Linked DNA regions of Coturnix japonica. The protein of the gene in region 3 purifies or fractionates together with the protein of the main gene of each other region. This does not show direct contact. Links are inferred from orthologs where the notes say so. Each region holds a gene or a part of one and is shown on either strand. Other genes may lie near its edges.

Region 1 (4,128 bases), on a different chromosome or scaffold from region 3:
GGACCAAGAGATCTTCCCATAATATAAACAGATTTCTGTTTCTGCAGGTTTTGAATGAAGAACAACTCAGGGTTTATTTGTTTGAAGAAAACATTTACAGAGAGAAAATATTCTGTCTTTATTAAAAATCTATGATGAAAAGCAGTAGAAAAAACAAACAAACAAACAGAATTACAGAATTATCAAGGTTGGAAAAGACCTAGAAGATCATCCAGTCCAACCAACACCAATATTTCCCAGTTAAAACATATCCCTCAACACAACATCCAAACTTTTCTTGAACACAAAAATTACATTAAAATAACACTTTTTAAGAACACTGTAAACACAGCACGTTCTCCCACAGGTAAAGAGGAGGAAGAGAATGAAGTTTAAGGCATGGAATACTAAACTCTTCATCAGACTATCAAAGTGATTTGCATTTATCAAGAACACGGGAGAAAACTGCAGAAAGGAAGAGGTATGTATGCAGGTACTTTCTATGCATCTTTTAAAGAATAGCCATTCAGATAATTTGGCGGTTGAGGAAGAAAGGACAAACCAAAACAACAAAGGGAATATAAAAGGAACAGATAACCCGTTAGTAGCTGAAAGAAACCACAAGGAACAAGTTCTGGTACATTGGTGGAAGAAAATGACTTCAATGGATGAAATACGCAAACACGTGGTCAATTCCCGGTAGTTTGGTAACAGGGAAACAATGTAACAAGTTTACCTGAAGAATTTGGAAGGTTGTTACATCTGCTCTCCCACGCAGCCAGCTAAAGCCTTGCTCCCTAATGAGCTTTCAGTTACTGGAAGTTAAAACACAAAAGCCACACATACAAAAGGGCAGCTGTACTTCTACCTAGAACGAGTAGTCCCCAACCACAAAATTCAGTACCGCAGTAAACGGGTTTTGTCCGAGTCGCTGATCAAGAAGTCTCCATGAAGTATACGGCACTTCATGAGATTATATTGTATCTTGTGAAGTGGAGGCACCCCTGGTCAAAAAAGCTTGGGAGAGCAGAGGACACAGTTAACATTCCCGTTCAAAGTTAAGGCAACGATTTCACACAGATTCAGCTCTGTGTTAATAAATGTCTGTCAATAAACGTTTGATTCTTCCCTCCTGTCACACTTTCAGCCAGTTGGCCCTGAAAACTGCCAGTATCTGACAGACTGGAATGTGCCTGATGCCTGTACAGGCATCACGTGTGTTGCAGCACTCTACCAGAACCAGACATTCCCATCAGAGCTTCTTGGCACTCAAACTCAAGGGAGGAAACTGAGACCACAGAGCAAAAGCTACAGCAAAGAAAGGAAACTGATGTGGGATGATCACTGCTCCTATCTAACCAGCCCATGCTACACATCTTTGAATCAAGTGGGGAATGACAAGATGGCTTCCCCCACATGTTGAGATCATAGAACAAGACTACTCAAAATACAACCCATTTTTCTTTGCTACTGCTGAAGGAAGGGCTTCCCTTCACTATACAGAAGGAATACTCAAATTCATCAGTGAGCTCACTTGGATACTATCCTTAACCAGGTTGGGCCCAGATTCTCTTCATGTAATAACACTCTGAACTAGTTCAAAGTTATCTATCAACATATCTGCAGATATACAGATACAGTGAGGTGCATTATCGCTTCTACATGTGCTTCTGCCCTAGAAGCACCTCTGCTGGCATCTTCAGAAACAAGGCTGTGTCTCAGCAGCTCAGCTGTGTGCCATTACAGCCAAGTCTCCACACCTATACAAAGAAGCCAGCTGTAATGTAAGCTTGCTAAATGCTACAAGCACATGCCCAGGAGGCAAGCAAAACTCACCTTCCACAAACCAGTACAGCACCTTTTGTGTTATCAGATAGGCCAAAACACACAAGGTTTTTGGACTGTCTGAAAGACTTCAGCAAGCCTGCTCTGCATGATACAGAAATTCAAAGCCATGCCACATGTATAGCTGGGGGAACTAAACAATTGAGTGGGACTTGTATCTGTGGGTTATCAGCAGTGCCTGGGCCAGGATTCACTGGTGAAAGCACTGCACTGAACATAAGAAAGCAGGCTACAGGAGCCAAACTGGATGCTGATAATGACATGGAGAAAACAAAGTGCAAAGAAAAATTGCAAAGAGCTCACTGTTTTTACAAGGATTACAAAAACTAAAAGGCAAAAGAATCAAAGGCATTGCCCACCTTCCCCAAGCCCTATAATCGGAGCAGTTATGGGAAGTGCTTTTTGCTTCAGAAGGCGTTTTGAAAGCAAGGTCATGGAAGTTCAGCACAGAGGTGGCTGAGCACGGCTGCGCTCGCACCTCCCCGCACCGAGGGCCGGGCTGCCAGAGCTGCCCACGGCCTGGGCTGCTGCCCCCCGCCCGGGGAAGAGGAGGAGCCCGGCGCCGAGGCTGCTGCCCCTCCTGTCACATCAACAAAGAGGCCCCCGCCATTATCCGCCCAGGCACCTCCAGCAGCCCCCGCACCGCCGGGCCGCAGCGGAGCCCGGCGCGCAGGGAAGGTCACGAACGCAGACAACCCCGCAGGAAGAAAAGGGCCACGCCACGCTCGCTGCCGGCCCGCTGCCCCGCGCTGGAACGTAAACAAAGCGGCCAGGCCCGGCCCCCGCAGCGCTGCCGCTCCCTGCACACCCGCCCGGCTCCAGCCCCGCTTCCCAGCCGCCGCCACCGCCATCCCTCCTCAACCCCAGGCACCGCACATACCACCTCCCGTCGCCTCCTTCCTCGGCCGCTGAATAATGAACCGGGGCCGGGCCGCGCACACGCACCGCGCTTCGTCCGCCCGGCGCGGCTGCGGCTGCCCGCCCCCTCCGCTCGCTCCGCCCGCACGCCCGGCCCGGCCCCCGCCGCCCCTGAGCCGCCCCTCCGGGCACGGGCCCTGCGGGAGGCTGCAGGCTGCCAGCGCTGCCGCTGAGCCCGGTCTGGTGTCTGCTGGGCTGTGCCTGCTCCTTCCCAGCATTATGCCCTGTACCCGGGCCTGCTGTAACAAAACTGCGTTTTTCAGGTGTTTGCCTTCATGCTCTCCTCCGTTTCCTAGTGTTCCCAGACATCCTGCAAGGCCTTGGCAGTCCTAGCCTTCCCCCTGAACATCTGGAATGGCAGTGCTTTATCTCATTGCTGGGTATCTGGAGTGGTGTAACATCTTCTGTATCTGGTTTGGCACCGTTTGTTCTCTAAGCTTTAGGCAGCTATTTGTGAGATTTTGAGTTATTACCACCACCTTTAGCTCTTGGCACCTCCCATGGGTGCTCTGCTTTGTTTTTACAATGTTCTGTTTGTTATTCTTCCTTTCCTTTCCCTTCCCTCCTCTGTTTTTCTCCTTTCAACCAGCAATACCCCTGTCTACAGACTCCATACCTTGAAGTCATGTCAATATGGCTGAAACAAGCCTTTGTATACTTACACTGCGTAGTACTAAAAATAAAACCTCCGGAAGAGTCTTTAAAAATACATAAAATCTACCAGTTAGGCACAGGGCACAGTGAATTGGACGCTTCACATCTTACTGTCAAACATTGGAATGGCTTGTGCCACATTTTTGAAGATGCAAAATAATGCAGTGAGATTGTCTTTCCACATCTCTGAAACAAAAAATAGATTTTTAACTAGTAAGGATACTGCTTCAGATGTTCCAGTCTTACCCACTGTCATAATGTCAAAAGCTGTATACTACTCACATTCCCATTTTATGGAAATATCTGCACTGTCTGACCTTAAAATTCTCAATACAAACAATCCTATTTCAACCCCTTAAGTTAGAAGTTGTTCCTTTGCAGTTCCCTATAGACCTATACATAACAATTTATAGGAAAACAAAATAAAACAAAACTGTTGTTCAGACTGCTCCCAGGTGTCCCTGGATCCCACTACACTGTAAGCATGTTACCAAGGTAGCCACTCCTGCCTCACCACCTGTCATTCCATGAGACAGACCCAGAAGTGACATAGCCAGCTTTCAGGTTTGAGACTTCCTGTTGAATTATGTTAGATCATGATCAGACATTGCATTCCCTGCCGTGTTTATGTGTGAAAGAGGCAAAGCTCAGCTTGGCAGAAGGAGCAGTATGAAACCCCAGACAACGCAGCACAGCTTAGTCTGTCTTAGATCATACCCATCTTCACTTGCA
Region 2 (4,358 bases), on a different chromosome or scaffold from region 3:
ACCTGGCGAGGAAGGGGCAGCTTCGTTCCAGAGCCATCACTGCACCTGAGAGCTCCGCAGCTTCCAGCAGCAGCCAGTACTGGCTGATCCCAGGCCAACAAAGCCCTGTATTTGCTATTTCATGTCTTACTGTCAGCAAGGTGCTGCGGATTTCAGCTACATCTCAGCATGGTGCTCATCCCCTGGTTCCACGTGCAAGAAAAGTGAAAAACAACAGTTTGGGAAGGGATGCTTACATGGATACCCACTTATTAACCTCTTAACTCCCAGCAAGATGTTTTTTAAATATGAACTCCCTAATTCAGCGATGTGGAAACATAACACTTGTGAAAAATAAGCGAGTGAGGGATTCCACTAAGAGTTAAGCCACCCATTTTGCATATAGCAAGCCTTACAGCACAATGCATTTAGAAATAACCAGCACCTTCTGTCTCATACACATCAGCTGACTGCCTAAAACAAAGCCATTAACGCTTGCCTTGCTGTCCTTTCTTAAGAGTACAAACCTAAATGGCTTTTCAATAGCAGGAGCTGTCTCCACCTGCACCCTGTGGCTTTGCCCTCTGCCACCCCAGCCCGGAAGGGAGATGCTCTGCAGATCTGCACTGCGTTACAGTCAAAGCAAGACCCGGGACACGCAGTACGAATCTGCATAAGCTCTACCTGCACTGCTCAGTAAGCACTGTTACTTAACCATAGTAGTCGGTGTGCTGCGCTGCAAGGCATGACAGTTGCTATGGCATTCAGCTGGAACATGTGCATCCAGCACCTCCTTTGTCAAACACGCATAAACTGAGACTTTGTTCCCTGGCATTTCACACCCAAGGCAGAAGATCAATAATTACAGTGCAATGTATCACGTTCAGGATTTCACACCAACAGCTTTAGAGAAGAAAACAAAGGAGCCAAATGAATATCTCAACTAAACTGGAGATTCAGAATTTTTTGTTAAGAAATACAGATAGCATTTGAAGCAGAATATCATTTAATATGGCAAGTTTCCAAACAGACGATAATATTCCACAGTTTCAGAGAGGAAACCCTTCCATAACAGAATGGAGTGACACACCGTGTGCAGGGGAAGAGAAGGACCCCGTTTCCCTGTCTGCTCCCAATCACGGTGACGCCAAAAAAGGGCATCAGCTGCCACCGCACTGCGCCGTGCACAAACATCTCAGCGTGAGCAGCCGGCTGCGGCACCACCTCGGTACCGCACGGCACGGCGCTGCTCACAGCTCCTGCCTGGATCGCTCTGCGGGCACCAAGCTCTGCTGGGGCTGCGAGCTGCCACCCGGCTCCGCTGATAAAGGCACACAATAACAACACCTGGAACACGAGCTCTGGACGGGCCGTTGTTGTGACTTCCAGCACTAAACCAATAACAAGGTTATTTTTACACCATCAACGGGAGCTTTTGTTTTTTTTGGTTTATGTGCTGGAGCTTCTTCCCACAACACAAAAGCAAAGGCCGCAGCTTTAAAGTTCCTGGCAGATGTTTGTCTGCCTCCCCAGCAGCTCAGGAGCGGCTCCAGCTCCCACCAACACAGCTCGGCCTCACCGTGACGGAGCAGCACATCCCCACAGCTGCGAGAGGAAACCTGCAGATCCACAGCGTGCAGCTGAAGGCAGCAAGGCAGCTCTGCTGAGCGATACACTGCGGTTTACAAAGCACGAACCGACAGAGAGAGAAAGCAAAGCTGCTACACAACCATAGCTGCGAGTGTCACACAGCACCTCCGGTCACACAACACACCGGGAAGCGCCGCGATGGGCCCGTCAACGAGGAGCTGCGTTTCCCATCCACAGCCGCCCATGCAGAGCAGGTGCCCCGAGCCGAGCACGGCCGGCCCAGCCCGGAGCTCAGCGGCAGCACCGCGGCTCGGCCCGGCACGTCGGGGCCGCTGCTACAACGCCAAAATCTCGCGATCGTTGTCCCGCATTTCGCGGTTGGCGCTCGGAGCTCGGACCGGTCGGCGCAGAACGCGCACACACGGCCCGGCCGCCGCCTGCCAGCCGGGCAGGGCCGAGCGGAGCCACCCGGCCGCAGCCGCAGCGGGAGGCCCGGGCAGCAGCAGCAGCAGCAGCAGCAGCAGCCAGGTGAGCGCCGCACAAAGGGACAGCGGGGCCCAGGGCACAGCGGGGCAGGGCAGGGCCCAGGGCAGGGCAAGCGGCGGCCGCCCGGCCTTCACCTTCACCTGCCCCGCCCCGAGGCCGCGCGGGCCGCTCCCGGCCGCACTCACACAGCGCCCCGAGCCGTACTCACCACCCCATGCCGTACTCAGCACACTGTGCCGTACTCACCACCCCGTGCCGTACTCAGCACCCCATGCCGTACTCACCACCCCATGCCGTACTCACCACACCATGCCGTACTCACCACCCCATGCCGTACTCACCACCCCGTGCCGTACTCACCACACCATGCCGTACTCACCACACCATGCCGTACTCACCACACCATGCCGTACGCCCCCTCTCCGATGTACGAGAGGTTGGTGTATCGCGGCCCCACGTCGAACACTTGGCCCCGCACCATCTCCGGGCCCCCGGTGCCGGTAGAGCCGCCCGCGGCCGCGGCCCCCGCCACCGCCGCCATGTTGTCCGTGCCGGGAACCGCGGCGACTGCGTGCGGGGAGGGGAGGGAGGAGAAAGGAGGGGACGGGAAGGAGGGAGCGAGGAGGAAGGAGGCGGCTCCGCCACACCGCGCTGAGAAGCACCGGCCGGAGAACGGGCCGCGGAGAACGGAACGAACCGACCCGCCGAGCAACCACCGCCACCAGAGCGGGGACGGGACGGGACGGGAGGGGGCGGGGGGCGGGGCGAGACCGGGGGGGCCTCGGACTGCGGTAACCGCAACCGACGGGGAGGGGGCGCGGCGCGCGGGTCACGTGGGCGGCGGGTCACGTGGTGGGCGCGGCCGCTCCGAGCGCCGCCATTAGAGGAGTCAGGTGATGGCGGGAGGAAATGGAGACCGGGATGGGGGGGAACGGGACGGGACGGGACGGGACGAGCACGGCGGGTACGAGCACCGTGCGGGGACGAGCTCCGTGCGCGTCGCTCTGGGCCGGACACGCAGCCGTTCCCGCGGCTCCGTGTCCGGCGCTACGTGCGCGTTCCCGCGCCCACACGGTGCTGTCACACACGGTGCTGTCACACACGGTGCTGTCACACGCAGCCGGGCCGGGCCGTCTGTCTGAGCTGACATTAAAGCATCAGTGACAGAAGGAATGGGAAGGTGTCTCAAGCAGGTCATTGGTTTGATGGCTGAAACACGGCGTTATGTTGAGGGGATGCTGATACCACGAAATGACGGCGGGTAATGACGAGTGGAGAGAAGAAAATGAACAGCATCATTGGGCTTAGAAAAAGCACAAACAGCTGCCCCACAGTGCTGCTCTTGGGGATTTCGTTTTCTCTGCTAAAACTCAAACTGAACAGTGATGCAGGAAACTTAAAGGTAGTTTATAGAAACAAGTAAAGGAAACTTAAAGGTAACAAGTAAAAGAAACAAGGGGCCTGGGAGAAGCAGGGAGAGTGCTGTGCTCTCAGTGCTGTGCTCAGTGCTGTGCTCTCAGTGCTGTGCTCAGTGCTGTGCTCTCAGTGCTGTGCTCTCAGTGCTGTGCTCAGTGCTGTGCTCTCAGTGCTGTGCTCTGTGCTGTGTTCTCTGTGCTGTGCTCTCAGTGCTGTGCTCAGTGCTGTGCTCTCAGTGCTGTGCTCAGTGCTGTGCTCTCAGTGCTGTGCTCAGTGCTGTGCTCCCAGTGCCCCGTCGTCCAAACCAAATGCAGACATCCAGTACAGAAAGCAATTTTCCAAGTGTTATTTAAGGAGACTTCAAGCCTCTGCCTGGAGGAGAAGAAAGAGAAGTAAGACATGTAAGGCATTCTATAAAGATGTATTTTAACTTCTAAGGCAGTCAGCAACCATGGTGATGAATGTGACACAAACTGAAATTGCTCGGATATGAGCTCTGATCCACTGGGAGCCATCCTAAGAGAGTCATAAAGAGCATCAGATGCTAATGACTTCTAATCAGAACCTACCTGGGCCTGATTGAACTGGTGTCATACAGCCGAAAGCCCACGGGACAAGTTGTCATTTAAATGTCATCCACTGCTTCAGCAGTGTAAAGTGACCTCCCCGTGACTGAGAATCTCTGTCATTTTATGCTGTTGGGCAGATAAAAGCAGTATCTTGCCCAAAGTGCAGGGCAATTTGATGCCAAAACAAACTCACTTTCTTTTTCCCCCAGTATTTGTTTCTTCCCTGCTCAGCATTCTGACCGACTTTGCAGGAAGCTTATTATGGTGGTTTATAGATTATGGACTTAAAAGTGGTAAACAGCTATATTTGTTTTGAGC
Region 3 (4,189 bases):
TTGTAGTCTAAGGCAATGGAGAGAGGGTTTGTTACCAGTGACCTGAAACTCCAATGCCTTCCTGCACTACAGACTGTTCAATTCTCTACTTTCTCAGACACAAAATGCAGAGAGGTTCCCTCAGTCCCAATGCCCGCAGACCAACAGACAGGAGGCCCTGGATGTTAACCCACAGCAAAGCCACTCTGCAGAGAGCTGTCCCTGCCTCCCAAGGACAGGGTGGGCTGGACAGAGGTGGGTGCCTATAGAAGAGCTGCTCACTGCAGCTGCCAAGAGCAGCTGCCAAGGAGATGTCAGAGGTGTGACCTTGTGCCTCCCCATGAGGAAGATCCAACAGAGCTGCCACCTGTTTGCTTCCCAGGGCAGCAGATAAGCACCTCTGGGCAAATTTCCTGTCCTCACTCAAATCAAATCAGCATGGTTGACATCCTTGTCAGCTGATGTAGAGCCTTAAAGCCAACACAAGTCAGGGATTTTATTATTGCCATGAATCCAGCCAGATGGAGCCCTGTCTCCCAGGAGAGCTGCTGAAGATTCATTCCAAGTGCAGGACTGGTGCTCATCGCCCGGGCCTGGCAGAGCACATGCAGCAGGACACATTCCTTACACCAGCTTTAGCTCTAAGTAGACACTGAACAAGGTTGGGTGTTCTCAAGAGCAATGGAAATGCGAACTCTGGCTCTCAGGTGGATGCAAGCTTATCTGACAAGGCACCCCAGGAGCCCCTTGGCAGCTGGAGACCGATTCAGCATCTCAACGTCCTTTATGGTTTTCTTCCCTTCCGCAAGGAAGAATTCCAGCCCCTTACAGCAGGGAAATGTACACACCAGTAAATGTGCATCACACGAGAAGATCAGTTTGCAGAGGCTGCATTTCCAGAACCTGAAAGCCCTTTTCAGTCTCGCTGGCTGAATTTGGAGGAACACCCAGAACACAGATGTGCTGGGTAGACATTCCCATCACCCCGATCCCGCTTTCATGGTCATCACACCACCACAAACTGTGGATGCCTCATCCCTAGAGGTGCTTAGGGCCAGGCTGGATGGGGTCCTGGACAGCCTACGCTGATGGGGGGCAACCAGCCTACAGCAACGGGTTGGAAGCCTTAAGGTTCCCTTCAATCAAAGCCATTCTGTGATTCTATAAGATGGGAAAGCTGCCCATATTTCATGTGGAAATATGAACTTCCTCCTGGGAAAGGCAAAGTGACCCTTCCAACAGGGAAGATTTCAATGCTCCTCATCAAATTGAAGGGCAGTTTAGCAAAGTGCTACCCAGTAAATATGCCTTTGGACACACACAGTGCCAGGTTTGTGTGACTCTTGCAAACTGGAGTGAGAAGGAACTTTTACATTTCTAAGGTAAGCAAGCAGGAGGCTTCTGGTGTAAGGGTTGAGACTCGAAGAGCCCATACCTCAAAATAACTAAGATTTCACTCTTAGAAATAAGGGATTGCTAACCCCAGACAATCCTGCTTGAGAACCACACGGGCATCACAGAATCACAGAATGGCTTAGGTTGCAATGGATCTCAGAACCCATCCAGTTCTAATGCCCTGCCATGGGCTGGCTGCCATTCACAGTCAGGCTGCCCAGGTCCCTCCCAAGCACTCAGCTCCCAACAAAGTGACAGCTCGTGGCTGAGCACCCGAAGCAGGTTCCCAATGAGCCCTCAGCTGCGCTCCTGCTCCATCCGTGAGAGCCTCCTAATGGTTTGCTGCTCTGCGCACACGCGTTCTCACCACTGCTGGGAGCAAACCATGGAACACATTCACTCTCAGGGGGTCAGAACCAACCCAGTGAGAACCCTTTTCTTCTACAGAACCTCGCAGGGCCCCTCCAGCCCAGCAGCCCTGCTTGCTCACAGCCTCCCACGCAAAGAGCACGAAAGAACAGACTCGTTAAGGTTAGAAAGATCCCTAAGACCGTCCAGTCCAACCCGCAGCCCATCCCCGCCGTGCTCACTGACCGCGTTGCTCAGTGCCACATCTCCACGTTTCCTGCACCCCTCCGAGGCCGGTGACCGCACCGCCTCCCCGTGCAGCCCGTGCCGATGCGTCACCGCTCTTCGGGAGAAGGAATTTCTCCTGATACCCCCCACCCCGACCCTCAGCACCGGCTCCCGCGGCACAATCGCAGCGTCCTCCCGGGGCGCTCCCCACGGCGAAGGGCCCGATCGGCCCCGGGGACGGAGCCGCACTCGGGGCTCGTCCCTCCCTCCTTCCCCGTGGATCTCCGGGCGCCCACCCCGTCGTTTCTGCCCCGTTTACCTGCCAGCAGCCGGATGTCGGCCCTCGCCATGTCGCGGCGCAGGGCTCGCAGCACGAGGGTCACGGTGCTGTCGTCCCGCAGGGCCTCGGCGCGGGGGCTGCGCTCGTCGTACAGCACCACGGCGGTGTACAGCCCGGCGCGCAGCCGCGCCCGCACCTCGCCCTCGGCCGGCAGGATCTGCTCCAGGCTCACGGCTCCCTTGGCCCTCCGCCTCACGATGGTGTTGCAGCGCACGTTGAGCGCCCCGCGGATGTGGCCGGCGCTGTGCGCCAGGAAGGGCCGGCAGTCCAGCAGCAGGCAGCGCCCGCCGCTCGCCTCCTCGCGTCCCACCAGGCGCCGCAGGGCGCTGCCCTCCATCTCCCGCAGCCCCTCGGGGGCCACCATGTCGGGGCCGCGTTTCCCCGCTCCCTGCTCCGGCCGCTCTCCGCCCCGGGCCGCCCCAACCTTTACTACCCGCCGCGCCGCCCCGCCCCTCTGCATCCAGCCCAAGGAATGAATGGAGGGAAGGCGGCGCAAGGGCGCGGCCGACGTCACCGCCTCCATTCACAAAAAAGGGCTCGCCGCCCGCCCGCCATCTTCGCCGCGTTTTTGTGAATGGGGACAGGCGGCGGGAGGGCGGGCGCTGCGGGGAGCCGCGCTCACAGCGGGGGGAGGCCCCCCCCCTCCTGCCCCCCTCCTCGTCCCCCCACCTCGGTGGGTCACCCCCACACACACACACACATACACACGTACACGTACAAGCGACCTCAGGACGCGCGCTTATGCTCGTGCTCCTTCTCCCTTTGTCCTTTAGCGCGTGTTGCTCTCGGGCACGTTTCCCTCTCCAGGCTCCCCCTGAGCGCTGCTCTGCCGCTGCCGCACTTCAACCCACCCCCCTCCCCGTCAGGAACGGCCGGTGAAGCGGCAGCCCGTCCAGGAAGCACCTCCAGGACCCTGCGGGGACCACCAAGGCACCACGCAGCCATTTTGCTCACAATCCCCATCTGAGGCTGCTCGCCCCCCAGAGCGATGCTGCAAAACCCAATTTCAAGCCATGGCTGGGGCACTTCCTGAAAGGAGACTCTACCAGGCCACGGCTGTCTGCTCCAGGGGGCATATGAAGATGCCCGTGTGCTGATCTACAGCCTTAGAAATGGAGCGAACCAAATGAAGGGCCCGCAGTTTCTCCAAGCCCATCTGCCCAGTCCATAGAGGGCAGCACCCAGACAGACAGGCAGCCCCTCCCCTGCATGCCAGTGGCTGTTTGTTCGGGCAGGGCAGATGACACGGTGCAGTGCATCCCTGCCTGGGATGAACCCGGCCTACTGCACGTGTTGGAAGCCTCAAACTGATACCAACCCCATGGCCTGGTGCTGCCTCTTACTTACAGCGTGTTCTCTGCCAGGTTTACCACTCTTGTGTGTGCCCGCCCATGGCTCTCATGTGCTGTGCCAGCCCTTCTCCAGCAAGCCACCACAACCCAGCTACGGGCAGGCATAGCTGCTGGTTGCTGCACCGCATGCTACAAACATAGTGGAGCCTGCTAACAAATAGAGCAGGGATGGGAGCTCAGTTTGCTCCTGTCCCAGCCTGCATTAGAAACATGGAAAGAAGAAATCTCTTCCTACTGAGCAGAGGCAGACCTCAGCAGGCATTCTTCCTTGTACTGACATTGCCTAACCAAGGGCACAGTGCAGACGTCCTTGGAGCCAGAACCCAGTCCTGTTTTTTCCCATGTGGCTGAACCCAACTCTGAGATGGGAGAGAAAGGGAGCGTTGGCACAGGAGGGGGGAATTGGGGCTGCCTATATCTGAATGTTCACACAAGCATCGATGGAAGATACTATTTCAGGACGGAGCAATGATATATGTGCACGTGCATGGGTGTCTGATGGAGATCCGCCATCGCAGGAATCTCCCTTGCCGCAATTAGCTTGAGA
Region 4 (3,560 bases), on a different chromosome or scaffold from region 3:
CCCCATGCTAATGGACTCTTCCAGCTTGTTTTATTGGCCAGTGCTGTGGGAATTAGCGCACTGATCTGCTACTTTATTTAATGAGCTATGATTTATATTTTATTCAGTAAAATGCTCAGGAGGCTGCTGTGCTACAGGAGCTTTGTAAGAAATTCTTATGCTAATCGTGTTGAAGGGATTGCTTCATTGCCTGTGTTTCCTTTTGTTGATAGGTACTTGGTGACACACCTCATGGGAGCAGATCTAAACAATATTGTGAAATGCCAGAAACTCACAGATGACCATGTGCAGTTCCTCATATACCAGATTCTTCGGGGGCTGAAGGTACCTGCTCCTGTGTTGCCTGAATGCTGATAGCTCCTCAGCAGGAATTGGAGCTTGTCGATGAATGTCACATCCTCACAGTTTCATACGAATACACAGAGGGGCTTCCTTAATGTTCCTAAGTATTGTAGGATAACCTGTTATTGTTTTTTTTCCTTTCATACCTCTTTGGCGTATCCATAAAGCTGTGTACAACTTCAGAAGATACATAGATATGTTCCTGTGGACAAAGTCTAGAAAGTCACGATGTGTGCTTTACTTTAATCTACCTCATCTCTGTCTTCAGTTTGGTTTTCTTACATTGTTCCACTCCTGGCAGTAGCGCTTGTGGGTTTTCCTAAGGGGAGACTGAAGGTGAAACACTGATGTACTTGCAAGCTCTATTGATGCTGTACTTGGTTCCTCCTGCAGACAAGGGTGGGATAGGACAGTGTTGTCTAGTGAGGAAATGAGAAGAAGGCTGTTTGAGCTGTTGTATGTCATTATTTGTCATTTTGCTTTACAGTACATCCATTCAGCTGACATAATACACAGAGTAAGTATTTACCCTAAGATTACTTCCTATACTGGACAAAATGTCTTTAAAAAATGTAACATAGAATCTTACAGTGTAGCCTCTGTTGAATTAAGGAGAAATTGTCTGAGAATTATTTTTGTAGAACAGTAGAGGATAGTGATGGTTCTCCTGATCATTAATTTCTTCTCCTACCTCTGTTTGGCTTGTCTCTTTGTGGAATAAGTTCGCTGTTAATTATTACACCACTAACGCAAGTCCTGTAGATACATAAACATGCATTTTTGCTTGTATTCTGCACCTCTGCAGACAGCGCAGGATAGAGCTGGTTCTGGGATAAAATTATTTTTTTGAATATGGAGAATTGATGTTGAAAGCCACAAAGATGATTGATTTTTTTCTACCGGACTTTAAATTTTAATCTAATTCAGACTTTTACAACAGCATATATACAGCCATTAATGCTGATGCTGTTTAATTTTTATTTTTTTATTATTTTTTTTTAGGATTTAAAACCTAGTAACTTAGCTGTAAATGAAGACTGTGAGCTAAAGGTAAGACAGTCATGGCATGTGACTTGTTTGACTGTGATCCAAGTGAATGCTGTCTGAATCTTCCTTGAAATGAAGGGTGCAAAGTGATTTTTCATGGAAATACTTCAGTGAAACAAGCTAGTTGTGTCCTTCTCAGTCATAAAATGTTGTGAAGATGCTTATATAGAAGCATCTCTCTTCTGTGTGTTCATGTGTTTTGTTTGTTTGTTTTTGTTGTTAAATCAATCTGAGAATAAGCAGTTAATAGCTGTGGTTTGGACTTTTTGCTATTTTCAGAGACAAGATATCTGGGTGTGATGCTGATGGAGTGCTGTGCTGTTCTCGCCTTTTAACAAGTCATGAAATTTAGTTTTGTTGTGGTTGCGCCACCTGTCCTCCACTCAGTGCAAGACTTGGAAGCTGTAAGGAGCAAACAGCCGGACGTGGTACCACTGCAGTAATAGGCGGATGTCTTTTTTGTTGTTTTTATTACGTAGATCCTGGATTTTGGTTTGGCTCGACAAACTGATGATGAAATGACTGGCTACGTGGCTACAAGGTGGTACAGAGCTCCAGAGATCATGCTGAACTGGATGCATTACAACCAAACAGGTGATCCATTTTACTAATAAAAGGCTTCTTGGTTCCTGAGTTCCTTGTGGGGAGGTCCAGGGAAGGTTCATGTTCTGTTCCATTTGATTGTGTAAATTGACAGTTACGCTAATTACACTTCAGTGATTAAAAGAAGTAAGACGCAAATTAGTTTTAAAACCACAATCTCATATCTAAGGTATGAACTATTATGATAGTGTTTACAACGCTTCCTTAAACTTCAACCTTTGAAACTGCACTTGGAGCAATCTTGTCACTACTTACCCCTTTTCCTAGCACAACTACTTTTAAAGTAAGTGAATAGAATGTATCTAGGTGAGAAAGACGGTGCCTTTCTAGAAAGCTGCTGGAAATGCATTTTAAAAATGTCTGTGATTATGGAGTACAGAAATGCTAAAGATGCATAGAAGTGTCCCTTTCTTCTTAGCCACTTCTTTTTCATCACGTCCTCCTGGTTTGATTGGCTTCCCAGCAGCGCACCGTTATTCCCTGTGAATAAAAGAATGCTTTCAGATCAAGCACAGTAAGGGAAAGAAAGGGCAGATTTTTTCTAGTACATGAATGCTTACTAGTCAATACAAATAACATGCTGTTCTAATTTCAGACCTCACTGATTCTGTGTTTTGTCTTTTCCTCCTGTGTGTACATGGGCCTGTCTTGTCTGTAATGTAGGAGTTGGTGGTTGTTCAGGTGGCATTTATGTAAGACCAGATTCATTCCTTATAGCTATCTTTAACAGATTTCTTCCTTGATTATGTAGATGCCTCCATAGCTCTTTGGTGTCCAATGCACAATACATTCTGGAAGGAAAAGTTGTCTATCTTGTCATCATTGGGAAAAGTCTTACTCAAAGTGGTTAATGAGCAGTGCCAGTTTCCTTGCAACCTCAGGTTCTTTCAACACCGTGAGATTACTGAAGTGTAACAGCGGTTGTAATTGTTGGATAGAGTGATTTTATTGAGACTTCATTTTTCTGCCTTACGATTTTATTTATTTTATTTTGTTCAGTTGATATTTGGTCAGTGGGATGCATTATGGCTGAACTGTTGACTGGAAGAACGTTGTTCCCTGGTACAGACCGTATCCTTTACAAGTGACATGATTTCCAAACTGGAATTTAGAGGTTTTCTCTTTGATGTGCTTCCCAAGGAAATGAGTTTTGTGTTGTTTGGTTGGGTGATGGTGATTTATTTATTTATTTATTTTTCCTCTTTGTTTCTAACTAACGTATGGCTTCTTCTACTCACAGTATGATGGAGTTCTCAATTTTGCTGCATGTGGAGTCATTGCAGTGTGCAGGGAGGCAAATCTATTACTGTTTATTTCTGTTAGCATTACTAGAGTTGATCATTTCTGGGAGTGAATTTCTTTTAAATTTGAGTCCATCTCTTTTTGAGTTCATAGGAAAATAACTGCTTGGAGTTGTCTGTGCTGTTAATTCCTCTCATGCTTCATGTTTGTAGGAAATGGGAAGCCCCTCTTCTGTATCCTGTTGGTATGCTATGAAAGCAGTGCATTTGCAGACTTCAGTGCCAGGGACCTCATCCCAAACTGCTCTGAAATGTTTAGGTTCTACT

Evidence for each region.
Region 1: the proteins of DUSP4 (region 3) and MAPK8 purify together in Homo sapiens (affinity purification with western blotting; 3 studies listed by BioGRID and IntAct, with this or other methods). This does not show direct contact. The link is inferred for Coturnix japonica from reciprocal best matches to the Homo sapiens genes DUSP4 and MAPK8.
Region 2: the proteins of DUSP4 (region 3) and MAPK1 purify together in Homo sapiens (affinity purification with mass spectrometry; 6 studies listed by BioGRID and IntAct, with this or other methods). This does not show direct contact. The link is inferred for Coturnix japonica from reciprocal best matches to the Homo sapiens genes DUSP4 and MAPK1.
Region 4: the proteins of DUSP4 (region 3) and MAPK14 purify together in Homo sapiens (affinity purification with mass spectrometry; 3 studies listed by BioGRID and IntAct, with this or other methods). This does not show direct contact. The link is inferred for Coturnix japonica from reciprocal best matches to the Homo sapiens genes DUSP4 and MAPK14.

What each region holds. Positions count from the first base shown.
Region 1 is NC_029521.1:15,676,584-15,680,711, reverse strand, and holds the start of MAPK8 (mitogen-activated protein kinase 8), read right to left. Parts: upstream 2,816-4,128; 5' UTR 2,705-2,815; intron 1-2,704. UniProt on the Homo sapiens protein: Serine/threonine-protein kinase involved in various processes such as cell proliferation, differentiation, migration, transformation and programmed cell death.
Region 2 is NC_029530.1:385,755-390,112, reverse strand, and holds the start of MAPK1 (mitogen-activated protein kinase 1), read right to left. Parts: upstream 2,821-4,358; 5' UTR 2,597-2,820; coding exon 2,454-2,596; intron 1-2,453. UniProt on the Homo sapiens protein: Serine/threonine kinase which acts as an essential component of the MAP kinase signal transduction pathway. MAPK1/ERK2 and MAPK3/ERK1 are the 2 MAPKs which play an important role in the MAPK/ERK cascade.
Region 3 is NC_029519.1:44,028,691-44,032,879, reverse strand, and holds the start of DUSP4 (dual specificity protein phosphatase 4), read right to left. Parts: upstream 2,836-4,189; 5' UTR 2,814-2,835; coding exon 2,270-2,813; intron 1-2,269. UniProt on the Homo sapiens protein: Regulates mitogenic signal transduction by dephosphorylating both Thr and Tyr residues on MAP kinases ERK1 and ERK2.
Region 4 is NC_029541.1:531,762-535,321, forward strand, and holds part of MAPK14 (mitogen-activated protein kinase 14), read left to right. Parts: intron 1-212; coding exon 213-324; intron 325-829; coding exon 830-859; intron 860-1,344; coding exon 1,345-1,392; intron 1,393-1,868; coding exon 1,869-1,983; exon of another isoform or gene 1,984-2,991; coding exon 2,992-3,063; intron 3,064-3,560. UniProt on the Homo sapiens protein: Serine/threonine kinase which acts as an essential component of the MAP kinase signal transduction pathway.